4 linked regions of the Oreochromis niloticus genome follow. The protein of the gene in region 3 binds, or shares a complex with, the protein of the main gene of each other region. Links are inferred from orthologs where the notes say so. Each region holds a gene or a part of one and is shown on either strand. Other genes may lie near its edges.

Region 1 (7,684 bases), on a different chromosome or scaffold from region 3:
AAACCCCAGGTTTGGAAAAACTTATGACTCTCAACTTTACATACAACCTAGCTCTGTCTTTCTTGAAAAAACATGCATCTTGTTTGATAGTTCCCCCCAACTGCTGTAGTTCATCAGTGAAAGAAGCACATTTACAGTGCTACTAGTTTTCTAATGGAGCCAGGCCAAATGCAAAAATGTCTTCTTTTTTTCTCCTTTTTTTTATAAAAATTTTATTTCAACATGGGTTAAGCTAAACTAGATGAAGGAATGGTCTGGGGCCTGTTATTTCTGTCAGATAGGAGTGAGAGGTGCTGCCAATCTGTTACTGTGTCTTCACCTTAAAATAAGATGCCTTATTCATTTGGATTTCGCTCCCAGCCTTTTGCCTATTGGTGAGGCCTTTGAATACTCTTCTTATTGCCACAAACATTTGTTGTTACAATTCAGCCACATGTTCCCCTTCATGCCAATACTGAAAATACAGGGCTGCACTGCAGTGCTGCTCTTTGGCACCCAAAAGACTGCAAGAGAAGGAAACGGGCATCTCCAAATCTCTTTATAACTACTGCCCTACTCTTCTCTGCCGTGATTTGTGGACTTGTGGCTTGAATGGCTGCCAGCCAGCCAGCGCTGCCGCTGTGAAGCCTGTCTGCTGCTGCTGGGTGTCTGCTTACAGCCACCTACTGTGTGAAGATGTTGAGCCTGCCCGTCTCTCCTGTGACAGAAGTCTATTTCTATCTGAGTGACATCTGGAAGGTCATTGCCACTACTTCAATGCACTGGTTGGTTTAATATGCACAAGCCATCCTCTACCTTGTGTTTTTTTTTTTTTCTTTTTTTTTTTTCTTCAACATACTTTTCCAGGTCCTTGCACTGTCTCAGATGAACCACATTTTGGCAAACACAAATGGGTCCACAGTCTACACGGGTGGAATAACACCAGTTTGTTACCTGTTACTTGTATTGTATTAATCTGCTACTGCGGTTGTAGTTTGTATTGATGTTTATTCATCTCTAATGTGGAACCCTGGCTGCTCACTGCCTTGGCTCGATGCTTCATGTTGCAGTCTTCTGATTTTTGCCAAGTGCTGTAAGGTGAAGATCATACAGTGAGTTTATGCCTTTGTGATTTACACTATCTTTTGTTAGAAGTGAATAAAACCAAACTGAGTAGACCAATTGGTTTACAGTTATGACATTTTGCCACACGGTATGTGCATATGTCAAACACAAATTCTTTGGATGCCTATAATAATATTGGATGTCTGGTTGTGAGAAATGGTCATCATCTGCCTCAGTTTCAGTGCTTTTCCCTATTCTCATGTATGGTTGCTGTCACTGGTATTTACGTACTGTATGTCTGGATTCTAATAAGTGACGTATTGGTAATAAAAATATTTTTTGATCAATTTTTAACATGCTTTCAGAATTCTACAGAAACAAAAGAACAACATTTTTTAAGCATTTCTATGTTACCGAGTAATAAAAGTTTGTGTCTACAGCTTCATTGTCTTTGAGAAATGTTTTCTTCCATAAAGCAGCAGTGGCAGAAGAGGGAAAGTGGCATCATATTTATTTAGCTAATGTCCTGCAGTTGTAAATGTCTGCAAATTAAACAGCTTTACCTTTTTTCTGACCTCTGCATTCTGTTGTGTGATATTTCATCCCAAAGAGTGATACTGTGATTCAAATGTGGATTAAAAACAGAAATTATCTTTGTAATCGATGCAAAGCCATCATATTCGATGCTCAAAGTGAGAATTTTTAATTTTTTTGGTTAACATATGCTAATGACAGTAACATCTTTCAAAAAAGGTGAGACAAGGGCAACATCAGGTGAAATGTTCCCACAGCTAATTAGGTTTATTAGTAATAGGGATGGGTATTTGGGAAAAAAAAAAAAGAAAAAAAAGAGCATCCCCTAGAGAAGTGTTGAGTGTTTCAATAGGCTTAGGAATACTTTGCAAACTACAGCATGCAACCATGCAAGGTGTGCTGCCTCTCTTGGCCCAGGACATTTCAGCAAAAGGGATTTAAAAACGCAAGACTTCCTGGCTAAATGATAACTGAGCTGTTGTCAAATCATTCAAAATTTTATTTGATCTTTTTCTTGGATGGTGTATTCTCCAGGCTAAAAAATACCATCTGGCTTGATCTCACTGTACTGTTAAAAATACCAGCATCTGTGACAGTATATAGGGGCGGTCATGCATACAGCAAGGCCAACTTGTGCATCTGCTAAACAGATTTTGGTATACAACAAATGCTGCCATCTAGATGATGTCTGTTTCAGAGAATGCTTCCTTGGGTCAGTAAGACAATGCAAACCATGTTCTGGCTGTATTATAGTAGCTACATGGCAACCAGCAGTCCAGACCAGTCACCAAAAAAAGAAAAATACAAATTTACAACAGTTTCAACAGTCTCACTTGGAGCATTTGATATGTTGTAAATATCATCTTTTTCCAAAGCATCCAAACCTTTTTTTGGAAACAGCTTTATGAATAGACCTTCTTTTACAATCATTTCCATATGTTTCTGCATACAGTAACAAACCTGGTTTTACTGTATATGAGTGGGGTGTATAAACCAGTTATAAAGATGCCTGTAAAATACCTAGGGTATCTGTAAGCATAATTTACCCTGTCGTGAAGCTGCTTGCTTTTCTGACATGTCCTTCGTGGTGCGGTGGTGCAGAGATGTGATGATCAGACATTTTTGTAGCGTAGTAACACAGGCCCTTCCAAAGTACAGTGGATGCAACATGGTGGGAAGAAGCAGAATGGAAATGTTAATGCAACTTACTTGCTTTAGTCAACACACAAAATATCATGTTTCATGATACTTACGGGCCTATCACACCCTGTATGCAAGACCCTGTACTCCTGGGAACACCATTATGAAATGATTTCCTCTGTAAAGTCAAATATAGAACAGATGTGGCAAAGATTAAATCATAAAGTAATAATACAAGAACAGCTACAGTCATTAGAAAAAGATGACATGAATTTATTGGAAAGTGGAAGAGTAGAGAATGTAGAAACCTTGTTGGGAATTAGGTGTTCTTTTCCAAGGTTTCTTTGTGTTGGCAGAATTTACCGTGTTGGTCGGCGTTTGTGGCTCCTTGACCCCGAGCTGGAGCTGACATGACTGCTGGCTGCCTGAGCTGTTGTCAGGGAGACATGAGGCTGTGGTCTACACTTTGAGAAGCTGTTATTATCACGATACAGACGAGCGTATTGATTAATATCACAATCAACAAGACAAACAATTTTAAAATTGTTTGTCTTTTCATTAGATAGTCTTTTCAGTAGATAGCACAATAATTGTCATTATTGTGCTATCTACTGTACAATATAAAGCGCCTTGAGGCGACTTTTGTTGTGATTTGGCGCTATATAAATAAAATTGAATTGAATTGAATTGAATAAAATTGACATCAACTATTTCCACTCTAAGAATATTTTCCTAGAACTTTAAAATGCCTGATTACCTTTTTGAAGCCACTTCGGTCTGTGGGTTTGGTCTTATAACTTCAGCACAGAATGGGCTACGTATGGTCAGCACAGGCAACTTGCAAAAGAAAAGATTTACTGTCATAAAGTGGACGGTCAGCGCCAATGTGCTTTTCAAACAAAGCATGGCTATTCAAAGATACCAAAGTTGACTTTTGAATCCTGACATATAAAAAAAATCAAAATCAAGGGGCATACCCGTTCAGACTGGTGAATGCAGATGAAATTCACACACACACACACACACACACACACACACACACACACACACACACACACATATGTATACATATATATATATATATATATATATGTATATCTATCTATCTATCTATCTATCTATCTATATATATATCTATATATATATATACAGGTCTAAAATATAAGAGCATAGGCCTGTGGCATGCTAACCACAGAATATTGTATCAGATCGTAAGATTCCCTGCAAAGATGCAGTCACATTCATGAAGAGAGCAAGAGAAAGAAACCCAGATTTCATATATGAACATTTATCATACTGTATATAATAGGCAATTCTAATGATATTAGTACCAGTACACGTGGGAGTAGAAGGAAACATTTAGTATGCAGACTTTCATGATGCCAATCTGGTATAAACAATTTTGTTAAAGAACTGAGTCAGGATATGTGGGGAAAGGTGGAAGAGGAGTTCTTATTTCCCAGAAATAAGTAGAAAGAGTAATCCCCGGTTGTGGGATGAGCTAAGTCTCCACATTACTAGCTCGCTCCCAAATATGTTCAGTGTCCATATCCAAATATCCAAGTAATAACTAGAAACATGGAAGCTCAGAGACAACCACTGAAGCAAATACTCGCTTCAGAGGTTGATTAAATACCTGAGAGCAGAGTTAAATAAACTGTATTTATTCTTTACACCTTGCTTAATTATAATATGTATTCTTTTTTTCTTCATTTAGGTGGAGCTATCATATTATTATTATTATTATTATCATTATCATTATCATTATTACATATTATATCGTACAAAATATATAATAAGATGTTAATAGTCTTGGACTGTATTAATGACATGTAAAAATGTCAAGAAGAGCCTGACCAGCAGACAGTAGAGGGCAGCAGCACGCTAGTGTAGCTACCTCAGAGAGCGCCAGAAGAAGAAGAACAGGGGGCGCTGCAGCTAAATCGCTTTACTTCCGGGATACTGTCAGGATGAGATTGTAGCGTCGGCGCTGAATAAAATCACATTCCAGGTAGGTGTAAAACACCTAAGAAATATTTTTGTAGGTATTTCAGTCAACTCTCAGCACATTATTGTTTTTACACTCGTGCGTACCGGAGATGCGCGGGCTTATTGTCCCTTTTTAAACCGGAAGAAGCAGTAGTTTTATAATAGACAGACTCAGAGATTATATCCATTCACTTGACAGCAAAGAAAACGCTTTAAATGTTGTTCAGATCCAACATTTGTTTGGCTAACAGAGCTGTGGGTGAACTACCTAAAAACAACATAATATTATATCAGCTTTAGAGCTTTTGAAGTCTTTTTATGAACCCAGAAAAGGACCCTGGTTGGCCTGCTACTTTAAGCCTTGACTGTAAGGCTTAATATGTTTAGTAAAATAATGATAAATTCCCCTAGCCACTTTGAGTCAAGTCATGTCACAAAACAGTAGTAACTTTAACCAAAGGGCTTTCCAGTCGTGTAATATTCAGAAATATAATGTGTTTATAATGGGACATTACTGGGTAAGCAGTGCAAAAGACTACGAGGAAACCACAAATAATGAAAACCACATAACGAAGATTGCAGGTACGACAGATCATTTAAGTAGTGGATGAAACGCCCCTACTGGTCTCAACCTCCCCACCGTCTGTGTTTTGCGTGTTGAAATCAGGGTGATGGGGCCAGATGGTGCCCCAGGTCCAGCTGTGCCATGGCGTAAGGTGCTGTGGGAACGCCAGCCTTTTCCAGATAACTACGTAGACCAGCGGTTCTTGGAGGAGTTACGCAGGAACGAGGGCATCCGGCAGTACCGCTACTGGGCTGTAGTGAAGGAAGCCGGATTTGTAGGACAGCAGCTGTCTTGTGTGGCCATTTTTATCACCCTCTGGCTCTACATGGAGCAGGTACTGCTTTGGGTTTTTTTCCCCCCCAATCTTTGAAGGACAAAGTGTCTTTACCAAATGGAGCGGGTTATTAAAGAGCTCTGCTTTCTTCACAGAGTCTGCTGCCGCCTGAGACGTTGCTGTGGTCCAGCCTCATCTGTGCCCTACTGGGTTATGGACTTCATCAAGCCTTGACATCTCGCGTTGAATCATGTGGTGAACCCCGCACTCATCTGGCTGATTTACAGAGTGCAGCCATTTTCCTTTCCTTCACCTTTGGCTTCTCGCCAGTTCTTAAGACACTAACAGAGTCTGTGAGTACAGACACTGTGTACGCCATGTCTGCTTTGATGCTGCTGGCCCATTTGGTGTCGTTTCCTTACGCCCAGCCATCGCCTCCTGGAAGCCTCTCTTTAAATGCAGCTCTGTTTGCCTCAGTGTGCTTAGCCTCTAGGTTACCCGGAGCTCTGCACACTTTCGCCATGCTAAGCTGCGCCCTGCTGGTGTTTGCTCTGTGGCCCTGCCTGCTGCAGACGCTGAGGGAGAACGCCCCTGTCCATTTTACTGGGGTGTGCATGGGAGTTTGCATTGGAGGAATAGTAGGTCTCGGGTCTCAGACGCTGGGTGGAGCTGTGCTCTTAACCCTGGCTTTAGCAAGTGTAACACTGCTCTGTCCTTTCCTGCTTGTCAGGCTGCAGAGGCACAAGGACAACATTCATGGACCCTGGGATGAGGCTGAGATTCGTGAGGACCTGAGCCGCTTCCTTCACTAATAAGCAGCCTAGCACAAGCAGCTCCTAAACAAACTGATATTAAAGGTGTAACTGAATTTTATATGAACCAATTCACTGTCATAGTGCTGGTTTCTTGGTGCTCTGTGCATGTAAAAGGACTAATTTTAACTGTTTTTTTTGTTTTGTTTTGTTTTTATCACTGGTTCATGTATGATTGGAAAGCAATGTCAAACTATTACTCTCTTCCAGGTAGTATGAGGATGGTTTTTAATGTTTAAGCTGCTACGGTTTTGTAATTTACCTCAGAGTTTGTGCGAAAGGTCTCAACTAATAGTATGACTTGTTACAGGATGTTAATGGTTTTCAAATCTCTGTAAAGAAAATGAAATGGCATTGACCTGAATATAAACAAGGGCTGTAATTCCATTTTCCTCAAATTATTTGTAAATATTAGAAGACTTTTAGGATTTCATTGTCTATTTTGGTAATGAGAGTATTTCTTCAGTGTTATTTAATACAATACTACAAGAAGCTGTTTTTACCTGCTCCACACTACAAGCTAAATATAAGACATAGCCTCAGTTTTTAGAGTTACCATGACCCTTGTTCACAAGTCGTCAGCACAGCAGGTTGCTCCTAGTGTTTGATTTGGCAGATTTTTACACCAGGTGTCATTCTTGATTTAAAAGCCCTGGAAGGGATTTGTCTCCTTCCAGGGTTAAACTGGGTTGCGTTCACTTCAACTACTACATAGTGGAGCTACACACCCCATATAATGATAACTTCATGAATCTTGTAAAATATGGTACTTTTTTGGGGGTCATGTTTCAGTTGTTATCAAACTTTCTGTCCTTTACTATTAAGGTGTTTGTAATAAAAAAAAACAAACGACAACAACACACAAAGGGACAATATGTTGTAACATTGTCGCTGTGTTGTGAATTTAAATATGGCCCTAAATATGAAATGTGTCATCAGCACTGAGGTAAGAAAATGTAGACGTTTTCTACAATGAAAAAGATTAAGGTCTTTCATGTCGCCTTCCGTTCAAATCCCAGTCAGTGACGTCACATCCGATGAGCAACACCTGTTGACCAGGTGTTTTCGGTCGACAGAGAGCAGCATGACGGGAGTTTGCCTCCCTAATTTAGTCAAATTTCCATTTGAAAACAACTTTATCCTGATGACCTCCCAGTTTGCTCAGCACACAGTGTGAAACAGACCGGAGTTTCTCTGTTTATTTTTTAATTTTTGTCTCAGATTAAAGAACAACTACATGGCGAAACATTGTCTCCTCTTGCTTCTTGCTTTAAGTGCAACATATAAAAAACAAAAATTTGCTCTCGAAACTACACCAGAACTACT
Region 2 (7,905 bases), on a different chromosome or scaffold from region 3:
CACACACACACACACACACACACATACACACATACAGTGCATCTTATACACATATACAACTGTTGCCTTATAAAACTGTGCTGAGGCTTTTGTTTTATCACAGAGATTACATTCAAAAGCAATTCATGGAAATTAAACAATGAGCCAACAAAGAACAGGACATGGTGTACATTTGAATCACTTGTAAAAACTGATGCATGGACCCAAATGTTTGTGAGTAGTGCTGCCCCCTACTGGTAAAACTAAACAACTAAACAGAAACTTTTAAAGATGAGCAAATACTACCAATATCTATGTAATTAATGAATATTGGTTTGTTATATTCTATGAATTTTGGGGGGGGACAAAAACAAATACACAAAAGAGTGTGCTAATGGTGCCAAAATACACAAACTTGTATAATTTGTGGAATTCTAAGCATATAAAAAAAACTATAAGGTTAAATATTATTTTTATGATCTTACATTACAAGTTACATTGCAAGTTAAAGAATTTGGCTTTTTAGGTTTAAACAAGTAGTCAAGACCAGTGTTTTATTTATTTTAAATTAATCATGTAACACAGTACAACATTATGACACCATTATCCTTTAAAGCAAAACATTAAGAAATGCAATGTATATAAAATACACCTAAGACGTATCAACACAAACAAGGAAGAGGCTAAAAGAAAAACATGGTGAATGACCTCAGGTGTTCCTGTATGACATGCGCTTCATTGGCACTTTGAAAGAATCTCCTGACAGCTTTTATAGACTTTCACCAAGCAGTTCAGCCTTGGCTTTGAACTCTAAAGGGAAAAAAATAGAGTTAATTAAAAACAGGTTCCTATGAATGACACCACATCAACAGCCCTGCAGGTAATCAAGTAACTAAACAGGCTCTTGAGATATGCTCATCCTCACCTGAAACAATGGCACAACACTTGACACTGCATCGGGCTCTGAGGGGTCCTTCAACAGTACACAGAGGTAGTAGATGATCTGATGCTGAAATAAAAGCATTAGACATTAATCAAATCTTTCATGGCAAACTGTAGAATAACTGTATGAGAAAATGTCAAGTACAGAGGCACAGGTTCAACAACGCACCATGTAAATAGCTTCATTGATGACTATATCCTTGATCTTGCTCATCTCAATGAAAGTGGTTATCTCGCGGCCCGAGGCATAGCTGGAGGACACCTGGATGCCTAAGGAGCCAATGACAAGAAGGGACTCATGGTCTACCTTCACAAAGTGGATGTGAAGCATCATGCCAACAAGGGTGACAAGAATAGCGCCGGACAGAACGGCAGTGTTCTGCAAGAGAGGAAAAGTATTACATTAAAAATAATCATTGTAAGTTAAAATAGTATACAACCATCCAAAAGTACCTAATGCTATCAACAGAATGACATTATATACAGAACATCTACATACTGAGTTGAAGAGCTAAACAAAACTTTGAGCGCACATTTGCATGATGCCAATTTGCAGCACACTAATGGTGTGGCATCCAGTCCCGATTCCAACAGGAGAGGAAGAGGAAATGCTGATAGAGAGATATCCTAGTGAATGGATCAGCAAACAATGGCCGATGCACCTGAAAAGTGACTTTTATCACCCACTCCCGGAAAGAAACCACGCTCAGTTGGAAAGAACAGAAATGATATGAAACAAAACAACAGTAAACATCCAACTATCTTTTCAACACTGGAAAAGTGGAATAAATGATTACACTGGACGCTCACGTAACAAGCACGGCTTTGAACAGAAAGAACCCAGAGCCTTAAAAAAAATGCTGTAAAATTACTGCGCTAACTTAAAAAGTGCACCATCTGGATCTTAGACCGGGCGACTAGATTGAGACTTTCTTTTAAAATACTGCCCCCTCGTGGTGGGAAGTGGTGTTTCAATTTTACAACAAGTATTTTTAAGAAAGAAAGAAAGAAAGAAAGAAAGACAGAACTTTTCTAACTGTATTATGTCTTCTTTTTGCTGCTCCGTTTAGGGATCACCATAGCAGATCATCGATCTCCATCTCACCCTGTCCTGCCTCTGTCACACCAATCCTCTTCATGTAAATCCATTAATCTTCTCTATGGTCTTCCTCATTTCCTCGTGCCTGCCAGCTCCATATTCAACATCCTTTATCCGATATATATCTACCTAGTGGTGGTGGTGGTTAATTCCACCACCCTCCATCTGGAGGGGGCCTTACTGTGTGGAGTATGAATGTTCTCTCATATCAGCGCGGGTCCTCTCCGGGTACTCAGGCTTCCTCCCACAGTCCAAAAACATGCAATTAGTTGGGTTAGATTAATTGGTGATTCTAAATTGCTCAGAGGTGTGAATATGAGAGCGAATGGTTGTCTGTCTATCTGTCTGTGGTAGCCCTACGACAGACTGCGGACCTATCCAGCACCCCCTGCGGCACTGAATTGGAAAAGTGGAAGCGAATGAATGGATTGATTGATGGATGCATCCAGGTCATGGTAGTCAAGCTTGGAAATATCACCGTGTCTCTGTAAACATCAGTCTATGGACACTCTTGCCTGACCGTCATCATCGCAAACAAGACCGCGGTCAAACAAGAAGGGGCTCAGAGCAGATCCCTGATGCAATCCCACCCCACCTTGAAGCCATCTGCGGCTCCCACCGCACACGTCACCACTGTCTCGCTGTCCTCAGAAACTTTGCATCTCAACCCCACAGTGAGAAGGATTTGACAGTAAATCTGCATCACTTTGGTCTCGCCTTCATCATCTTACCTGGGTGAAGAAGAACACTGCATACGCCAGAAGCCACACGGAGCAGGTGTATACCATCACTTTGCCCATGGACACTTTTGGGGAGCTGATAATGAACTCCCTGCAAAAGCTGGAGTGACTCTGACAGTCCAGAGAGATTGGTTTACCGCTAATGTCAGTGAAGGCTTCGTCTTCCATGATGACTGAACAACAAAAAGAGGTGAATGAGCATAAAAGACGAGTGATGACCGGTGTATGTTGTCAACACGGTTATCCTGTTAAGTTAGCACCGAGCTAGCATTAGTTGTTAACTGCGAATAGACAGAGTCAGCAGCACATTAAGACAGGCGGTGATAAATTTATAATGATGACGAAAAAAGAAAACTGCTTAAAGTACTATGCTTTAATTGAATTAAAAGGAAAAAAATAGCTAAAGAGCTGAATTAAAGAGTCAACTACAACTGTCGTGTGCCACAATCCATCCCCACTCATGTGGCTGCACTGTTTTTTACACCGGGGTGTCCAGAAAGGGTGAGGGGGCTCTCGCGCACACAAGAGCAAAAGACCGCGGAAAAACTAGTTCATAAAACAACTAAATGTACTTTAATGCATAGAACAACTTGTAAGTTTGACATTTATATTCTTCGTTTGATATCAACGAGATAAGTGTCAGCTTCAGCTTCTGTCTCCGTCTCAGCTTGTGCCTACGGCACACGCTGGTATTGAATAAAAGCAGACCCTATAGCCGCTGGAAAAAGCAAAGCATTATGGGCAACGATTGATTTTTCGTCGATATCTCCGCGTCGTTTACTCAAGCTGGTCCACAGCTTTCGTCAAACAGTCTGTAAATGTCAAATGCGGGGTATACGTTGGTGTATGTGCCATAAACAGGTTACAAACAGCTCGTCTTTAGCGAGCGCTTTTCCATGTCACTTGTAAGTCCTTCGTTTCCCAAAATGCTTTGTGTTTCCGTGACTTTTGACCTCTGGATAAAAACAAGCCGATCAGCTGATGTAAAAGCAGCAACATCTACAGGGGTCTGACACAATAACAGCTAGCTAACTTTGCCCCCCCTCCAGCGTCAGCTCTCCGTGGCATTCGGCGGTATGGTGTTAGGTAGTGTACGTGTCCACTTTTAGACTGTGTCGAGCCAGCAGGTTATTTAACGAGTCAGCCGTCGGACTGGTAGCAACTGTTAGGTCAGTCGACTCAAAAGAAGGTTGTTTGTTTCAGGAGTGTCTCTTTGTGTGAATGCTGTTAGCTAATGACTCTTTACTACTGAGTTTCAAGGCCTGTTTTTAGGCATTTTAATGTATCAAACAGTGTGGGATACTCTCATGTAGAAAGTTAGCGTTACCAGAACAAGAAAACAGATGCCGGACAGCTATTGTTAGCTACAGAGCTGTTGTGGCAAAAGGTAAACAAACTAGTCCGAGTTTTGTGTGTTTAATTTTGCTGTTTCAATAAACTGAATATCCCCATTAAAAAGTAAGGAGAGAGAAAAGGGGCATAGGTTGCTATCGTTTTGTTGACAGTACTGCTCATGAGTGAATTTGTTTTTTGTTTTTTTTCAGTATTTCAACAAAACAGGTTATCTGACATCTGGTTATATAGATTCACAAAACGGTTCCATAACCTTGCGCCCTCTTCTGCAGTGCTTTTGCCGTCCCAATTACCCACAGTAATCCTTCATACTTGTTTTCACACCAGGGGTTTCCTGTCCTCACAGGTTTGAGATGAGTGGTCAAGGTCCAGCTGTAAACAAAGGAATGAACACCATCCTGGTCTGTCAGGAGAGCTATGCCTGTGGGGGCTCGGACGAGGCTGTGTTTGAATGCGATGAGTGTGGCAGCTTGCAGTGTGCTCGCTGTGAACTGGAGCTACATCGGCAGGAGCGCATGAGGAATCACGACCGGGTTCGGGTCGCCCCGGGCCACGTTCCTTTCTGTGACTCCTGCAAAGGGGATGGCAGCTGCTCTGGCAGACTCAGAGCGGTGGTCCGCTGCCAGGGCTGTAAGATCAACCTGTGTTTGGATTGCCAAAAACGCACCCATGGGGGAGTCAACAAGAGAAAGCACCCTCTGGTACCTTACCCACCTGCCAAAGCTCCTCAAGAGAACAGTGTCAGTGCTGGGGAGAGTGACATGGAAATCCTCAAATCCAAACTGGAGAAGGTGTGCAGCTTTCTGCTAGTGGATGAGAAGGAGGAAATGCAGGTAAGCACTTGTTGAGGTACCCAGCGTTTGATGGTGTTTTATTAATGATGCGTTACAACGATTGAGCTGATCTTATCTGCATTCTCAGGTGAAGGATGAGAAGGACTTTGTCAGCAGACTGGGTTGTAGTTCAGATGAGCTCCTCAAGGTGGTCTCCATTTTTGGGAACACTGGTGAGGGAAAATCCTACACCCTGAACCATACGTTCTTTCTTGGGAGAGAAGTGTTCAAGACGTCTCCCACTCAGGAGTCCTGCACTGTGGGTGTTTGGGCAGCTATGGACCCTCTGCATCGGGTTGTAGTCATCGATACAGAGGGACTGCTTGGAGCTGGTATGAAATTATTGATTTATTTAATATTATGAAACAAATGGGGGTAGAAGCAGGCACCCATTCATGATTCTTTTTTTCTTTTTTTTTTGATCAGGGGCTAATCAGGGTCAGAGAACTCGGCTGCTGCTCAAGGTCCTGGCTATCTCTGATGTGGTAATCTACCGGACACATGCTGACCGTCTCCATGACGATCTCTTCAAGTTCCTTGGTGATGCATCAGATGCCTACCTGAAACATTTCACTAGAGAATTAAAGGCAACTACCACTCGCTGTGGTCTTGATGTACCGTTGTCCACCCTGGGCCCCGCGGTGATCATCTTCCACGAGACTGTCCACACCAAGCTTCTAGGATCAGGTACATCAAAGAAGTCTGTCTCATCTCAGTGTTTTTCAAAGATAAGCACACAAACCACCGCCTCATTCCTTTGTCTCCATCTGTATGTGTACTCCAAATTTAGACACGCCCTCAGAATCTGCTGAGCGCCTTCTCCAGGAGCGTTTCAGGAAGCTGGGCTTATTTCCGGAAGCATTCAGCTCCATCCAGTACCGTGGGACTCGAACCTACAACCCTCCCACGGACTTCAGTGGTTTGCTCCGCAGCCTGGAGCAGCAGCTGGACAACAATACGACACGCTCACCACGATCTGCCAGTGTCATCTTCAAGGCCCTGCAGGTAGCTGTGCTTACATTTAACAAAGTATGTTTTGGCATAGCGAGTGCAAATGTGTTTATACCTTTCCCATCTCCACCTGGGGCCTTCTTTCAGGCCCTGAGTGAGCGCTTCAGTGGGGAGATTCCAGATGAACATATGAACAGTAACTCCTTCTTTCCAGATGAATACTTTACCTGTTCCAGCATCTGCCTCAGTTGTGGGTAAGTGTCCCTGCTTTGCTAAAAAAAATATCAAAAATACTTTAAGTCAGATTTCTACAGCATCATCACTGCCAGTACCTTTTACTTTTACTTATTTGTAAAACTTGCTGACTTGCTGGGCACCAACTTTCAGGTCAGGCTGTAAGAGGAGCATGAATCACCTAAAGGAAGGTCTTGACCATGAAGCCAAACATCGCTGCCGGTACTCTGCACAGTACGACAACCGCATCTACACATGCAAGGCAAGTACAAACATACATCTACGCCACGTTTGAAGTATACCTGCTTGACAAGGTTTTGAGCAACTGTGCTGAACTTCTCAGGCCTGCTACGAAAGGGGAAAGGAAGTCATAGTGGTTCCCAAAACGACGGCCTCGTCTGACTCACCGTGGTTTGGCTTGGCCATCTACGCTTGGTCAGGGTGAGTCCTGCGAGTATAGAATGATTTTTCATAAATATCCTCATACGTGCCTTTAAAGTTTTAAGAACAATTGAGCACAGTTGATATAAAAAGTGTATGGCACCTCTGGAATCTTTCCTCCCTGTGCTGAAACTGAGATGGTTTTGTCTTTTTACAGGTATGTCATTGAGTGTCCCAACTGTTCAGTGATCTACAGAAGCAGGCAGTACTGGTATGGAAACCAGGACCCAGTGGAAACAGTGGTCAGAACAGAAATCCAGCACATCTGGCCTGGGGTAAGGCCACGCTGAATTCACTTATACCATTGGAATCTAAAAGCTCACTTTTTGTTTGCTTTGAGTCATATGAATTTGGCCACTATGAGGCGAGTGGCTTATACTGTATGTAGATATCCAGAAAAGTAACGCAGCATGTTCTCCTGGAACATGTTGATCTAAGCATAATTAGTCACAAGTCTGAATATAGCAGTGCAAACGCCAGCTGGTAAGGCAGGCATTGTATTTCTGTCAGCACTGTTGTCAGTATTTAGTGATAATTGTGAGGGACGCTTGTATAAACACAACTTCTATGGCGTACTGTAATTATGTGTTTTTACACTGTTCTATGCAGTCAGATGGCTTTTTGAAAGACAACAACAACGCTGCTCAGAGGTTGTTGGACGGAGTCAAATACATTTCTCAGTCTGTGTCTGAACTCAGCGTCAAGCCTGCCAAAGCGGTCACTTCCTGGCTTACTGACCAGATTGCTCCTGCCTACTGGAAACCCAATTCCCTCATCCTGGTATGCAACCAATATTTAGCTAACTATATATAAGGAATCACAGGCCCAGAATGTGTAGTTGTAAATGAAACATCACTTGTGTAAGTAAAACATTTTCTTGGTGATAGCCCATCAAGACAATGTAGGTTGACATTTGACATGCTGCAGTGTTCCTGTTATGTTACTGTTATGCTGATAAATCGCATTACTTATTATTGTGCCGTAGAAATGTCATAAATGTGGGGAGGAGTTCCAGCCCAACGACACCAAGCACCACTGCCGTGCCTGTGGAGAGGGCTTCTGTGACGCCTGCTCCTCCAAAACCCGGCCGGTCCCTGAGAGGGGCTGGGGTCTTGCGCCTGTTAGGGTCTGCGACGCGTGTTTCCACAACAGAGGAATTCCAACTGGTACACAAATGAGTCTCTCTGTGGGAATTTAAGAGTGGGGTATTGTTTGCCGGGCTGGTTCAGATGGTTTTAGTGTTCACAACATGATATGATTTGATGTGTGCATGTTGTAGAGTTGCTGGACGCTGCGTTGGAGGAGGAGGGAGGCACTCTGATAGCGAGGAAGG
Region 3 (7,549 bases):
CTCAGCTAACTGGAGTCCCTGAACTGGACCTCTGGACCGTGTTTGTGCTGTTGGAGCATTTTTAATAACATCATGTGACCAATAACATGGCTGCTGTGAGGCGACTGTACTAACAGACTGTCCAAGAAATCTGAGCCACAGTTTTGTGAGTGAAATTCTAGGATTTTAATAGTTAATAGCTAATTATTTATATAGCATGGTAGCTAGCTAGCATTAGCTGATACCTTAGCACTCCACCTTCTCTCTTCTAGCCTCAAAAAAACCAAACGGGGTGATCGACACGCTCAGAATGAGGCTTCAGAGCCCAAATAAGAAACAAGTGATATAGCAGCAGTTATTTCCATCTTTTACTTACAGTCTCTGATTAGGAGTCACCACCTTTCAGAAATTGAACCTTCTCATAAATGCTGAACGTTTATGTTTCCAGGCTCTCCTGTCAGATTTTCCCAGTTCAGACGGCAAACTGGGAACCTTCAGGAGGAACCTCCGCGCCAGCAGGGGACAGTGCTGGGATGACAACTGGGACCAGAACGTCCTTCCTCTAATCACTGCTCCGAGATAACTTTGGCTGTATTTAGAGAGCTAGACAGTGCTGCTGTTTTAAAACCATTTCTTTTATTCATGAAAGTCTCGCTTTCTAAGCCCTACTGGGCACGTGCAGTAGACATCACCATGGAAACAAGCCTTTTTTTCCTCGTATGCCGGGTGAGCACTTTTCATGGAATAAAGTAGGCCCAGCCTTTGAGTCCAGTATCCAGTGAATGCCTGGATGATATGAGCTCCAGTTACAGCAGAGTGAGAGCGCAAAGGACCAAAACTGTTTGCTTGGGTGTTTTATGATAAATGTACATTTAAAATTTAAATGGATCAGCGGGTGAAAAGACCGAAGTCTTCTGAGGTCTTCTTTTTATTCCTGACGTTTTTCCTTCTTCACTTGAATGTACAAAGGAAGTTGTCATGACGATGGAGATGTACATTTGTAAATAAAATCTTTATCATGCTCCCCCCGTGTCATCTGCACAGTTTGATGAGCTCTATAGCCGACTGTCTGTTATAAGGAAACACATGGTTGACAGGTCCTGGGATCACTTCATGGCCGACTCCTTCAGTTTCTGCCAAAACAAACAAACAAATAATGACTTTATTCAAGATGCTTTATACAAACCAAGGTCCTGCACTCTGTATAAAATCATCTTCATAGTTCCCCAAGCACGCCTCAAAAACAACTATTATTATTTATTCCCACTGTAACCAGGAAGTATCCAGGATCAAATCTGGCCAGATTTCTCTCTGCAGGCTCGTTTTGTCCACACTGGAACGTCTGAGTGTTTACTGTGAGCTGTCCCAGTTTCTTTTTGCTTCATTTTCTTTCATGAATTGTGGACACTGTGCACAGCTGGTTAAAGAACTACTTACTACAGCAAACCACAGTATTTTTCCCCGTGTGATGTTTACTGTTCATTTCAGGCAGCAAACACGTTTTTGTGTGTGACGCTGATGAAACTCCGCCGCCAGACTCGAGCGTGAGGTCGATAACGTGACGTTAGCATGAGCCAAAGAGGCACAGCAGAACGTTAGGTTTAAGTAAACCAGACTCTGATCAGCTTTAAGTCTGAATTAATCTGAACTATCTTCAGCACAGCCTCCTCCTCCTCAGCGTTGTCTTACCAAGCTGCTGTTTGAAGCCGCCGTACGTCTCCAGGTTCCTTATCGTGGAGCAGACGAAGACCTGAGGGAGAACCTCAGCAGACGAACACCTCATGACAATGGACAGCAGCTTCGCCAGACTTCCTGCAATGTCAGGGTCGTACACCACGTCTGCACCACGACAAACAAACAACAGGAATCTGAGAAAGCAGAGTGTCAAGAGCTCCATAAAAGCTGGAACAGACTGAGGTGTGTGAATGTGTGTCCACGCCATCTCGCTCCATAAATCTGACCTGCGGCGATGATGATGTCAGCCCCAATCTCCCTCAGCTCTTCCTCTGAGGTTGCCGTCCAGTCCAGCTTCTCCACGCTGACCGCTGGGGTCGTCTGCTCGCTCAGCCCGTTCAGCTGGACGTTGTCTCTGAGTTTCTGCAGCACTCTGCAGTGACAGTCACTGAAGATGAATCGCTTTGGGCTGCACGACCGACAGACGGCGATACCCGTCAACCCCGCGCCGCTGCCCAGCTCCAGCACCGTCCTGAAGGAGGAGGAGAAAATTTAAAAGCTGCAGAGGCTCCACCTGGAGGGCGACAACCTGCAGATCCTTCAGCTTACCTGCCAGCAAAGACCTGCTGGTTCTCCAGAGCCCACTCCGCCAGGTAAAGAGCCGCCTCCCACGTCACCAGCCCGGTGGTCCCCTCTGAGATCAGAGCAATGTTCTCCATCAAGCTCACAGCGCCACCAGCAGGCTGCGGGACACAAACATGGCTGCACTTCAAATTAAGACTCCAGCAAGCAACAGCTGGCAAAAGTAGGGCCGGGCGATTCAGACCAAAAATTAGATCTTGATATTTTTATGGCACAAAACAAATAATTTGATATAAAGGTGACAGTGACGCTGAGGGTTTTCCTGTGTGCAGTACCAGCAGGTAGCTCTTGTAGCACTCCGTGGTCTCCTCAGTGCCCACCACCTCAGCCAGAGCATCATACAGCTCATCCAGAGGTTCACAGCCTGAAGCTTCCAGCTGTGGAGGAAGAAACCAGGAAGCACACAGCCGGGTTTTACTCTGTGATCGAGTATTTCAACATCTTTCTGTCCAGAGGGAAAAAAACTCAACTAATAATCTGAGAGTTAACCTCTCCTTACCCGTCTGATGAGCTCGGAGAGAAACAGCCTCCTGTATCTGACTGAAGGTGCAAACTTCCGGCACAGGGGATGAAGACACGTCTGTAAAAACACGTGACTGTTCATTACACTAACGAAGCTGAGCTGTTTTAGGATTACAGCACGATGGAGGAACACTCACCTGTTTCAGCACCTGTGAAATGAGCTCTGATGACCCGCTGCTCTGAAGGTCTTTTTCTACAAACTGTAAGCAGATAAAAGTTATACAGAGGACATTACAGAGGTTTAAGTCACATTTTAAGTTCAATTCAAGTCATTCACATAGAGCCAAATCACAAAACACACGCCTCAAGGAGCTTAATATTATAAGGCAGACCCTACAATAACCCCAACAATCAGACGACCCCCATGAGCAAGCACTGGGCGACAGTGGAAAGGAAAAAATGTCCTTTAAAGGGAAGAAATCTCCGGCAGAACCAGGCTCAGCCGAATTATTCAGGGGGGTCCCCTGACTGATTTCATTGCTTTACTCGTGTTTTACAGGCAGCGGGTTTGTGGCCAGCTTTGGTGCTCTAATGCGCAGATTTCTGAATGAAGTTCGGCCAGTCTCATACTCACAGTCCAGGGAAACGAAGGCAGCCGACTCATAGCGAAAAACGACACCTGGAACTCCTTTAAAACCTCTCTAACTGAACCCTGCACTGAGGACTGCTCTGAAAGCGCCATCTTACACGTGTATTTGTTTACTTCCTATTTACCCATAATCCTGCGCGACCGTCTCTCGCTAGAGCCTCTGGGTAGTGAAGTTTATCTGTAGGTTTGAGCATAGTCTACCTTTTTTAAAGCTACAGAGAGCTAAGTGCATGTGTGTAAAACATACATGACATATTACACACTTCTTTTAAATTATTGTATATTTTTATTAGTGAACATTTTTTTATTTAAATGTAATGTTTTGTATTAATTGGAACTTACCTTCATTTTGAACCAGAGTGTGTGTTTTTTCTGGGGCTTTTCTTAACCTTTTTATACAGTTTCTGTTGCTCTCTGTGTGTTTTCCTTTTCCTTTTAGTTTGGAGGGTCTTTGGACATCATCACCATCAGAGATGCTGGAGTGCTCTGATTATGGTCTCATCATATTTTAGCTAAAAGGTTCAGGATTCAAGTCCAGCAAATGTGTTTTTCTACTTTTAAGGTCAAAATTAAAGGTTGCCATTCCTGTGGCTCTCCTCTGTATCATGAGATCAAACCTCCAGACAACCCACTTCTCCCGCAGGTAATCTTGTGCTTTAAAGATCTTCTGTGTAAGAGTTTTCTGAATTAAAATCATGTATACTTTTGTTTTAAGGAGGTTTTGTCTGTTTTGTTCGTATGCATGTTTTGTAACCTCAGAGTAAATTTCTGATCCATCAGAGCTGCTGGAGAGCTCAGCTGGTTCTGTCTGTCAGTGGATTTTAACACTGAGGCTCAAGGTTCAAGTCCAGCTGCAGTTCTTATTGAATTGAATCTTTCCTTTATGCCAGCTTCAGCAGCTCGGTGAGATGAATAAAAGGTCATTTTCATTTAGGAACCTGTGATATCTGCTGATATCTGAGAAGCTTTCAGTCAGATCTGCTGCTGTGGCCTTGAATCTTCCCGCTCTTTTCTTGCTGTGTCACTGCAGCCGCAGATAAAATCTCTTCAGTTGGACCAACTGTGCATTCACAGCAGCAGCTCCAGCACACTGAGCATTTACTGGTGAGTATGAGCTGATTATTTTTAAACATCAGTTTGATCATTTCACTTGGTTTTCTTAACAGAAAAAAAGAATCTAAGAGAAACTAACGATTTTGATTATTTGTGGATTTTTTTGAATCTCACTGTTGGGTCTATACAAGTTTTCCTTCCAAGCAAATTATAAATGTTGTTATAATATTATAATACATTATTATTATTTTAAAAAAGAATACATGAAGACAATGAATATAGAATGCTTTTCATAGAGGAAATAACCGTATAAATTAATTTTAAAAGGATTAGCAGAAACACGAATTACTGTTTTCAAAATCAGAGGAGCGTCTTGTGACCAATGCTGAGGCCTGTTAACGTGGTAAAATGTAATTTTAAAGCATACATTATAAATTCAGCGTAAACTGGAATTATTAGTAGGAAGAACTACATGTTGACTTTAACTGATTATTTTATTGTTCTGTGATGTTTTGGTTTGAAAGGTTTTCCCTGATGGATCAATACCTTCATTCAGACATTACAATTCAGAAAATCCAGATCAAACTATTATCAGCATAACAAGAAAACAACAAGAAATGTAAACTAATAGAGTGACTTTTCAAAATAACATTAACAATTCCCTTTCAAATTAATGCAAGACCACTGTTTAAGGAAGTTGTTAAAATATAAATTTAAAATATGAATTAAAAAAAACTTTGAAATATGTGAGACTTTTAATTGTTTCGAAAATTGAAATCTAATCGCAGTAAGAGGAACACAGCACAGTCATTAACGCGTGTTTCTCTCCGGAGCGTTTTATCGCACGGACTGTCAACAACTAAGATGGCTCCGGCGGCTCGTACGTAGCTGCAGAGGGAAGGTGAACTCTTGTTTTCGTGTTAAAGAAGGTAAAGGGTGCATTTTTAACACTCATGTCTCGTCTCCGCGGTGATGTTAGCCAGTTTGATGTTTCCGCTGTTTCTTCGAGCTTCAGTTCATTGATTTTAAAACACTTTTAACGAAAAATAATGAAAAATGCGAAGAACTTTGAGGTGGTTGTCAGTTTGGGGACACAATAAAGCAGCAGTGTGGGGTGTCACTCTTCTCTTTGACGTGTTGGGTAATTTCTTTATGCTCCCGCGGTTACTCTATATAACACTGCAGATAAAACTGCAGCTGACCGGCTTCGTGGTCTCGGAAATCAATGGCATTCCTGCCCCGGGGCTTCCTGTGGTGCTCCAATCTGATTTCTGATTGAAGGGCAAAAAACGAGGACAGCCGTCTCTAACCCTGTTCCGTTCTGTCGCCAAACTTCATTAAAAAATGGAAAATTGAGTGGTTTTCCTGCGGTAGCGCTTATACTGGAAAAGCAGGGATATTTTTCATTAAGAAAAACAACCTCTTTGTCTCCTCGGCAGGTATTTCGTGCTTGATTACTGTTTCTCTTGTGTATATACACACATGCAGACTGTTTCGCACACATGGATTAGACCTGTTCCTAAATGAAGAGAAGTATTCCGTGAAGGTGTCCCACTGAAAACAGGTCCAGGCTTAATCCATGTTTTTTAAAAGCTTTTTCCTCGATGCTTTACTTTTACCGCCATCTTTGATGTTGTAAAATGTTCACATAAATTGTATTTCAGAATTCTTTGATTTCCAAGTTTGACTTTTGTAATATATCTGCTGCTGGCAGTGAGTTTTCCAGTGTTAGACGAGTGTCTCAAACTGAGGTGTGGACACCAATGAGGGACCTGCACGCACTAATCAGCACGCGTATCTGTGATGAAGGATTTCTCCGTCAGGGCGGTAACTGTAAACTTGTAACTGAAGTTAAAGTTTACCTCTGCTTGTTTTATTTCCCTCAGATCATTAGAGCTGCTGGACTCTGAGCCACAGTGCAGTCATGGTGCTGAAGATTTTCTTCCCACAGTGCTGTAACCGGGCGGAGAGCGGGCTGCTGGTGGGCCGCTGGATCTCTGGTCATGACTCAGCCGTGGTGCTGGCGGTCATTCACTACCCCTTCATACCCGGGCAGGTCAAACAGTACATCCAGCAGGTTGGTGATTATAAAGAGGGAGCTGAGTCTTTGTAGGGCACTAGTTGTCCAGTAGGTGTCACCTTTGTGTTTCGAATGAAACACAATGCAGAGGAAAACTTTTAGTTGGATTGCAGATGATCAGATTAATCCATTCAGCAACGTGAGCCAGACTTCAGTCCCTCATCCTTCCTCTGTGTTCGTCTCTAAGATGCAGGCCCAGAGCGGGGTGGAGCTGACGGTACTCGGCTCCTGGAGTTTACCTAAAGAGGGTCAGGAGAGCATGGAGAGCTTCCTCAGGGACCTCAGCACCATCTTCCCCCAGCAGCGCTGGCTCCAAGTCAGTCGCCAAATGGGAAAGATGGGCTTCATCTGTGAGGTCGTCAACCGGAACCAAAGTAAGATCCTCAGACTGGAATCTGCTTCCTCCTTGGATTTTTCTTTTCCACATTTTTTTTATTTTGGACTGTGCTAGAGTAGCTTTGCATGATTCTCAGCTCAAAATAATCCTCATTTATCTTAAACAGGGCATCGGTACAGCTTAGCAATTCATCCTGTCTGAACTAAGCGGCTTTAGCTCCTCCCATTCTTTTAAGCCTGAAATGATAGTTCTCCTTTTTCACAGCTGTCTTTCATTTATTTATTTATCTCATTTATTTATCTAAGAGTTTGTCTCTGTTTTTAATTTTTTTTTTTTTTTTTTTTAAATAAAATGTCCTTTATTTAATTTGAAAGTTGCATTTCCTGTGCTCTGATTTTAATAACTTTCAGATGGGCAAGAAACTCAGCAGGAAGCAAAAAAGCAAAATGAGGAGGAGGAGGAGAAGGTGATCTTTGTCCACTATGAGCAGAGGAAGGTGATGCTGTCGCAGCTCCACCCCACTGAGAGCGGAGATCCTGACCCCAACACCGAGCCGTCGTCTGAGCTGAAACAGGTAGAGAGGAGAAAAAAGCTGTGATGTGTCCATGTTGGTGCAAAGCTCTCAAATCAGCTCCACCAACATGCGTCCAATCCCTGATGTGGGCAGCTGGTG
Region 4 (7,795 bases), on a different chromosome or scaffold from region 3:
CTTGTCTTATTAATAGTCAAAAGACAAAAAAATGCAGGACTTTCAAAACGAACTGCTCATTGGTTTCTATTTTGGAAATTGCTAATTTCTTTTTGTTGTATCTGTCAAAAAAGGAAAAAGAAAACAAAGCCCTTTGTATTTATCTGCCATGTTAAAATTTTTATTTAAAAAAACCCATTTTCTTAAATTTAAAAATATATAAATACACTCAAGTACAGCCAAAGGTCAAAGTCAAATAACATAAGATATATGCACTGTAAACTAAGGCACAAACATAATGTACCTTTACCTTGTCTTTCTCAAGGCTTCATATGTTTTTGTACATTAGTTTTAAAATGTAGAAACACATGTGTGAATGTGAATGAGTGACTTTGTGTCTGTAAGCCTTTAAAGGAGAATCTGGTGGCTATAATGAAGAGAAACAACCATATCAGCATTCTGATGTTTGCCCTGTTCTTTGATGCAAAGCTTTTGTGATGCATGAGAAATATTTCGATCTGAAAATCACTCACAGCAGAACTGTAAAGCCCACAAGTTGTTTCTCAGTTTCTCTGTGATTATTGAACTTTTGTGAAGCAGCAAGTTCTGTGTTTTCCTATTTTGTCAAGTTTATTTTTAATAATTTAATGCAATTTAATACTGAACTTATGATTGGTCATCTTTTCTGTTGCAGGTAAAGGCATTCCTGTCACTGTCAAAGGCTTTGAGAAAGGCGATGTGCTCCTGCCATGTGATTGCTCTAATAGAGATTTGAATAAGGTATTCAAGTGGCAAGTGGAAGAAGATGAGAAGAGAGGGGTGGAGACAAAATTGATCTTCAGCTATTATAATGGGACCTTATATTTTAAAGGAAACCCGTCCCACCGATATGAAACATTTTTTCATAACGACAGCAGTAATTGTTCTGTTCTATTAAAAAACATCACAAAAGAAGACCAGGGAAAATACAGTTGTCGTTTTTATTCTCCACAATACAGATTTTTTTTTGTGAATCTTGTGGTTTTGGGTAAGTCATCCATCGTGGATACCAACAATCTTTTAATACTCATGAAATTTCATTATTTTAACAAAAATCATCTCTCACCAGGGTCACATATTTTTCAGCACAGGGAGACTCTTCCAAATGGTGGAAACATTTACCAATGTGTTGTAAAGCTTGACAGCTACAAAGAGCCTAACATTCACTGGACATTCACACCACCTCCAACATATTTATCCAGTTTAGTTCTAATATTATACACCGTGAGGAGTCACTGGGAGGAGAAAGTCTGTGTACTTTGGTCTGAAAGTGACTCTAACAGCAGTTGTGCTTCAAACTAAGAATCTGAATGGAAAAATGTCGGATTTATTTAACTTTAGTGAAGCAGCAAGTTTTATGTTTCCCTAGTTCGTGACATTTACTTTAGACAAGTAACATTTAATTAAACAAATAAATCTACATTATGAGTTGAATAAAATGTATATTTTGATAGACTCTGATACCTGGACCTATAATTGGTCATCTTGTCTGTCGCAGGTGAAGGCATCACTGTTAAAGGCTTTGAGAAAGACGATGTGCTCCTGCCATGCAATTGCCCTAACAGAAATTTCAATAAGGAGTTCAAGTGGCAAGTGGAAGAAGATAGGAAGAGAGGGGTGGAACCAAAATTGATCTTCAGATATAATGATGGGACCTTAGATTTTAAAGACAACCCGTCCCACCGATATGAAACATTTTTTCATAACGACAGCAGTAATTGTTCTGTTCTCTTAAAAAACATCACAAAAGAAGACCAGGGAAAATACAGTTGTCGTTTTTATTCTCCACAATACACAGTTTTCTTTGTGAATCTCACGCTTTGTGGTAAGTTGTACATTGTGATTACCAGCAATTTTTGAATACTCATGAAATTTCATAATTTTAACAAAAATCATCTCTCACCAGGGACACATATTGTTCAGCACAGGGAGACTCACCCAAATGGTGGAGATGTTTACCAATGTGTTGTAAAGCTTGACTGCTACAAAGAACCTAACATTCAGTGGACTTTGGATGGAACGTGTCTGTCAAATTCAGCCACGACTAACATCTCCCCCACATACAACCTGGATGAAGAAACTGGCGTCCACTATTTTCACAGTAGACTCGAGACTGAAAGCAACTTCACCTCAGAGCCTAAATGTGAAGTCAATGTCACATGCCCATCTGGTAATTATTCATTTTAAATTGTTATTTCAGCAAAGATTGATCTTAGGGGTTGCCTGGTACTTCTACCACAATAAAAGTGCTGTGACATTAAATGCAAAGACGGTAATATTCATGATACATGTAACTGTGGAACATTTCATAATATCAATTATTGTATTTTTTTTCTTTTTCCAGGAAATGATCCATATTCATTAACCAGCCTGGACCCCCTTTTCAGGATATTATTTAAAGGGGTCCCTGTTGTTTTGGCGCTTGGATTTTTGCTGATTTGGTACCGTCGTGGAACGTCTCACAGTGAGTTTTGTTATGCTACATTTACTGCATTACTGGTTAAACCAGAGTGACTCTGTTGCTCTTTCTGCAGCTTTTTATCAGCCACTAACAGTTTTGATAGTGTTTGTTGATATTTGGCTTTGTTACAGTGTCTCTCCAATAATTTAATCTTTCATTTTCTCATTGCTAAGGGTTTCCCGGTGAGGGAAATGTGTAAAATGGTGACTTCTCAGACAAACACAAACTCAGACGAGCCTCAAAGTGAGGATATGAAAGTACTTTATTCTGAGCCAAAGGAGGTGATTAATCACTGCTGATGCAATACTGGCTGTTTGCAAAATCTAGTTTTCATCTTTTGTTCCTGCTCATGGAAACTACATCTACTTTGGAAGCTAAAGGAGGAGACTATTCTCTGTATGCCATTCATCAGATTTCCTTGGGAAGAGTAAAGTCTGAGCTATATATACCAGATGCCAGGCTTTGTTTTTTGTTTTTATTTTTTTTTTAACTTTTATAAATAAGTAGGTTTAGGGTAATGCGTATAATGTATAGTTAATAGGAAAAAACACTCAGGAGCCAAGTAAGAAATTTTTAAATGATGTTGCTTAACTGTGAAACATCACTGTACTACATAGCCGTGCAGCTCTGGTCCCTTTTTGGGAATTAGGTCATCAGCCTTGAATCTGTGACTGCAGTCTGGACAGTACGTCAAAATTTGACAAATGGAGAAGTGTAATGAAATGTAAATGTGTGGCCCTTTTTCAGCACCAAAAAGAAAAGTATATTTTTAAAAAAGAGTAAAACAAACATTTTGTTCAGCAATAAAGTTTTTTTTTTTAAACTGCATGATGGGTAACTTTTATTTCCTTTTCAGATATTTCATTTCTCTTTAATGAACCATGAACACAAGCACACCACATGCTTCAAGAAGAACACAGATCCTGTTTTTGTGTTGTTGTTGTTTTTTTTTGGTCAAGTGTAGCACACTTTCAGAGTACTCCATCGCATAAAAGTCCTGCATGCAAAACTGCAGTATCAACAAAAAATGTTTTTGTTGTGACAAAGTAACAACATGCAGTAGATGTCTGCTGTAACTAATGTGACATGTGACACACAGTCACATCAGGACATAATTTAAAAATGAAGTAAATAAAACCTCAGATATTACATCGTGTCATTTTTTTGGGATTAAAAAATAAGCCAAATACAAAAGCATGTGTATTAAATCAAGTACACAGTATGATTCAAAAGATCGTATAGCCAGTTTTACTATTGTGGCTTTATCAGTCTTTCACATCACTGTAGAGAAATATTTGACCGTCTGTTTCCATTCATTCATGTGTGACTCTTTTTGAGGTTCTGCCACAGCCAGTGAGTCGAGATGAGGGCTGAACTTTCGACTGAGCCATTACAACATATTTATTCTTTTCTTTTTAAGCCACTCATTACTAGATTTGCTCTTGTGTTTGGTATCATTGTTGTGTTGCATGATTTTGTGTCCACCAACCTTTATCTATCAGACAGATGGCCTCACATTTGACTCTAGAATCATTTTGTATACAGAGGAGTTCACGGTTGAATCACTGCAAGATACCCAGGTTCTGTGGGTGCAAAGCAAGCCAAAATAATTACCCCTCCATCACGGTACTCACTATGGTCTTATCTGTACAAAGGACATCCCTCCAGAAGTCTTGTGGTTTCTTCAGGTGTGTGTCTTAGCACACCTGAATGCTCCAGACCAGCAAATTGCTCAAGCCTCTGCTCTCAATCTCTGAGGCTCAATTAGAGATAGATACCACACATCTATAAAGATCTGGCGGTACACACCGTTAAACCATATGCCAGTTACAACGTTTCAAGTGACGTAGAAAACACCAAGAAGTAACACAAGCGGCCAAGTGGCTAGCTCGAGGCTAGCATGTAGAAATGAAATCACATCTGGAAAAAGACTGACTTTCCACCCACGGTAAGGCAGTTTGGACTGTGAAAGCGGTCAGCTTGATGCTTGTTAAGGTTAAATGCGAAAGGGCGTTTGTCGCCATAATGTAAACATAACAGACTGCGGTCAAGTGAGCCCTCACTTACGAAGTCACAGTCAAGCTAGCCGCCCCGCCAGCCGCACCTAAAATGTGGTTGCACTACTCTTACGTATATTACGGTACGGATGAAGACCGGCTAAGAAACGCAGTCTTTTGTGTCCTGACACTATTTTACTTCAATATCCACTCCCAGTTTTGGTTCATCTCCACTTTTCACCCCACGATCCACAGCCAAAATTACTGTACGATTCAGCGAAAATTAACAATAACATTTACCCAATATACAGTACTGTACTTTTAATATCTTCAACTTTGACCTCAGATTACAGGAAAACTGTAAGAGGTGACGCAGATATTTCACTGGATTCTGACTGTGGGTGACCCCCACTCTTCACCCTGTCATCCACAGCCAAATTTACTGTACGGTTTTCCAGTAAATCAATAGTGAACTTTACCCAAATTACTGTACTGTTTTCTGATTAAATTAAATCCTAATCTATTACTGAAGAAAATGAGTTCATTCAAGTATTTACTTAACTACAAGAAATTTCTTTCCACACAAAATTTAAATTTTCAAAACATCATTCACACACCACCTCAAGTAGCAACTTTAGTTTTAGACATTATTTATTCAGCGCTTAATCACAACAATAGTCACCTCAAGGCACTTTACATAATAAGTTAAACCTTACAATAACACATACAGAGAAACACCCAACAATCATACGACTCCCTATGAACAAGCACTTTGGCGACAGTGGGAAGGAAAAACTCCCTTTTAACAGGAAGAAACCTCCAGCAGAACCAGGCTCAGGGAGGGGCGGGGCCATCTGCTGTGACCGGTTGGGGTGAGAAATTACATTTCTCATATTACAGATTTCTCAGATTACTATTATACAGTTTTGATATATTGTTATTCATTATCTGTCATCACACAAATCAACCCAAAAAATCAAAAAGGAAATACTTAAAATACGTGCTCAAAGCAAGAATGTTATACATATTGTGTTTTACACATGTGTTCCTCAAAACACCAATAATAACTATAAGCAGATTATTCTAGTAGCTTTCACTGCATGTGGAATTAGGTTACACAAAGCACCAGTGATGGGAATAACGGCGTTACAAGTAACGGCGTTACTAACGGCGTTACTAACGGCGTTACTTTTTTCAGTAACGAGTAATCTAACTAATTACTATTCCTATCGTTACAACGGCGTTACAGTTACTAACAAGGAAACGCGGTCCGTTACTATTTTTCAACAAACAGACGGTTGAAGCTGTGTTCAGCTTACCGCATCTTCTGGACGCTACAGCTTTAAGCAGCTGCGCGCTCCCGCGGACGGTAATCACGAGCACTGTCCAGCACAACACCTGGAGCTCAGGGGGCAAAACAATCGCATGAGTGCTGCTGTTTGACTGAGGAAGAATAAAGTAGTCGTGGTAAGCCAATCACATGACCACTTAAAGACAAAGCAACAAGGTGATATATACCAGTTTTTAAATTGTGTCGATAGGCCACGTAAAACTAGAGTCGTGATAAACAAGATATACGTGGCGTTTTTTCCTCAATAGTTTCACCACGTTAGCGCTAGCAAGCACTCTCTGCTTATGAGCAAAAAAAACAAAAAAAAAAGTTTTAGGAGTGACGGAGAGAGAGAGAGAGGGAGAGAGCAGGAAAAGAGAGAGAGCGAGTTTTGAGATGTGAGAGATTTGTGACGTTTAGCGTGTTTGTAGTGTGTAGTTAATGTGTTGTCTTGTGTAGTTAGTGTGTAGTGTTGTGGATAGTTTTGTGTTGTGTGTCAGAACAATGAGGCGACTGCTGTCTCCAGGTAGAAACAGGAGTGATACACCTGCTGCTTTCAGACCTGCAGGTATCAGGCTGTGATGTTTTCCTTTATAGTGGACAGAAATTATTTTTTTGGAGTGGCACAAATAATTTGTGTGGCATCTTATTGAATGCAGAACAGCTGATTGTTCTGTAAATAGTTTGAAATGGTTATTTAAAAAAAGTGTAAAAGGTAAATGGATGCAAATAACTTTGTTGTTTGCAGAACTTGTGCATAGGATTTTAAAATTGACAATTAATATGTTTTTTGTCTGATTTTAGATCAATTCTGGTTATACAGTATGACAAAATGAGAACATAACTGTAAATTCAGGCACGTGAGGTTGCGCTAAAAAGAATGATACCAAACAAGGCAAAGTAAATAGTTTTTAAAGGTAAAATGTGGAGGGAAAATCAAGAGTAGTAAAAAAATGGCCAATTATACTCTGGACGCCAGAGGGTTAAACGTTCTTTGTTTTTTTTAAAAGTAACGCAATAGTTACTTTTCCAAGTAATTAATTACTTTTAGAATATTGTAACTGAGTTACTAACTCAGTTACTTTTTTGAAGAAGTAACTAGTAACTATAATTGAATTACTATTTCAAAGTAACTTGCTCAACACTGCAAAGCACACACTTCCACTCTGTCTTCTGAGCGCTGCTGAGCTGTTCATTTGTCATGTCCAGGCATTCAGAATGGAACCAGCAGTTGCAGTTATCACACTGAATCTGTAAACAAATAACATATGAGTTTTCATAAACACATGAAGTAAATAATTCTATGATTTCATAAATTACAATCCTTAACAACACAGAGTCAAATACTTTGTTGTAGTCAAAGGAATTTGCAAAGAAAAGCGTCTGGACTTCTTTAAGTTGCTTGAAGACGTTTCACCTCTCATCCGAGAAGCTTCTTCAGTTCTAAGGTCAAATGGCCGAGAGTCCCAGATTTAAACCCAGTGGGAGTATCCCCCCAAAGAGGGACAAAGGACCCCCTGGTGATCCTCTAATCACATGAGCCAAGGTGTGAAAGCGGCTGTGGGACCTAATCAGCCAGGGTTTCGGGTGAGCTCATTGTGAAACCTGGCCCCACCCTATCATGTGATTTCCTGAGGTCAGATGGCCCAGGATGTGAGTGGGCGTTAAGGCGTCTGGGGAGGGAACTCAAAACTGGATTATAGATGGCAGACAGTTGGTGTCGTAAACCACCGCCTCTGTTCAAAGATGGTCGCTCACAGTGGACATAGATGGCCTCTTTCACTCCTCTTTCAAACCATCTGTCCTCTCTGTCCAATATGTGAACATTGGCATCCTCGAAAGAGTGACCTTTATCCTTAAGATGCAGGTGGACTGCTGAGTCTTGTCCTGTGGAGGTGGCTCTTCTATGTTGTGCCATGCACTTGTGAAGTGGCTGTTTGGTCTCTCCAATGTAGAGGTCTGGGCATTCCTCGCTGCACTGTACAGCAT

Evidence for each region.
Region 1: pigq (region 3) and pigc share a complex: the UniProt entries of both Homo sapiens proteins name them as parts of the glycosylphosphatidylinositol-N-acetylglucosaminyltransferase (GPI-GnT) complex. The link is inferred for Oreochromis niloticus from reciprocal best matches to the Homo sapiens genes PIGQ and PIGC.
Region 2: pigq (region 3) and pigh share a complex: the UniProt entries of both Homo sapiens proteins name them as parts of the glycosylphosphatidylinositol-N-acetylglucosaminyltransferase (GPI-GnT) complex. The link is inferred for Oreochromis niloticus from reciprocal best matches to the Homo sapiens genes PIGQ and PIGH.
Region 4: pigq (region 3) and piga share a complex: the UniProt entries of both Homo sapiens proteins name them as parts of the glycosylphosphatidylinositol-N-acetylglucosaminyltransferase (GPI-GnT) complex. The link is inferred for Oreochromis niloticus from reciprocal best matches to the Homo sapiens genes PIGQ and PIGA.

What each region holds. Positions count from the first base shown.
Region 1 is NC_031986.2:38,718,550-38,726,233, forward strand, and holds pigc (phosphatidylinositol N-acetylglucosaminyltransferase subunit C), read left to right. Parts: upstream 1-4,574; 5' UTR 4,575-4,729; intron 4,730-5,374; 5' UTR 5,375-5,378; coding exon 5,379-5,606; intron 5,607-5,701; coding exon 5,702-6,358; 3' UTR 6,359-7,604; downstream 7,605-7,684. UniProt on the Homo sapiens protein: Part of the glycosylphosphatidylinositol-N-acetylglucosaminyltransferase (GPI-GnT) complex that catalyzes the transfer of N-acetylglucosamine from UDP-N-acetylglucosamine to phosphatidylinositol and participates in the first step of GPI biosynthesis.
Region 2 is NC_031980.2:5,869,674-5,877,578, forward strand, and holds the start of pigh (phosphatidylinositol N-acetylglucosaminyltransferase subunit H), read right to left. Parts: upstream 3,245-7,905; 5' UTR 2,929-3,244; coding exon 2,752-2,928; intron 1,301-2,751; coding exon 1,091-1,300; intron 989-1,090; coding exon 905-988; intron 790-904; coding exon 715-789; 3' UTR 1-714. Other genes in the region: zfyve1 (zinc finger FYVE domain-containing protein 1), read left to right, coding at 3,837-3,846, 4,441-4,946, 5,035-5,278, 5,373-5,633, 5,737-5,951, 6,045-6,151, 6,285-6,393, 6,475-6,572 and 4 more. UniProt on the Homo sapiens protein: Part of the glycosylphosphatidylinositol-N-acetylglucosaminyltransferase (GPI-GnT) complex that catalyzes the transfer of N-acetylglucosamine from UDP-N-acetylglucosamine to phosphatidylinositol and participates in the first step of GPI biosynthesis.
Region 3 is NC_031969.2:32,539,387-32,546,935, forward strand, and holds the start of pigq (phosphatidylinositol N-acetylglucosaminyltransferase subunit Q), read left to right. Parts: upstream 1-4,430; 5' UTR 4,431-4,510; intron 4,511-5,259; exon of another isoform or gene 5,260-5,388; intron 5,389-6,345; 5' UTR 6,346-6,383; coding exon 6,384-6,536; intron 6,537-6,726; coding exon 6,727-6,913; intron 6,914-7,286; coding exon 7,287-7,450; intron 7,451-7,549. Other genes in the region: alg1 (chitobiosyldiphosphodolichol beta-mannosyltransferase), read left to right, coding at 428-562; protein-lysine N-methyltransferase EEF2KMT, read right to left, coding at 1,012-1,112, 1,669-1,818, 1,941-2,185, 2,263-2,396, 2,571-2,672, 2,795-2,875, 2,955-3,017, 3,392-3,499. UniProt on the Homo sapiens protein: Part of the glycosylphosphatidylinositol-N-acetylglucosaminyltransferase (GPI-GnT) complex that catalyzes the transfer of N-acetylglucosamine from UDP-N-acetylglucosamine to phosphatidylinositol and participates in the first step of GPI biosynthesis.
Region 4 is NC_031987.2:20,520,560-20,528,354, forward strand, and holds the start of piga (phosphatidylinositol N-acetylglucosaminyltransferase subunit A), read left to right. Parts: upstream 1-4,329; 5' UTR 4,330-4,427; intron 4,428-7,795. Other genes in the region: uncharacterized protein LOC102076210, read left to right, coding at 1,048-1,179. UniProt on the Homo sapiens protein: Catalytic subunit of the glycosylphosphatidylinositol-N-acetylglucosaminyltransferase (GPI-GnT) complex that catalyzes the transfer of N-acetylglucosamine from UDP-N-acetylglucosamine to phosphatidylinositol and participates in the first step of GPI biosynthesis.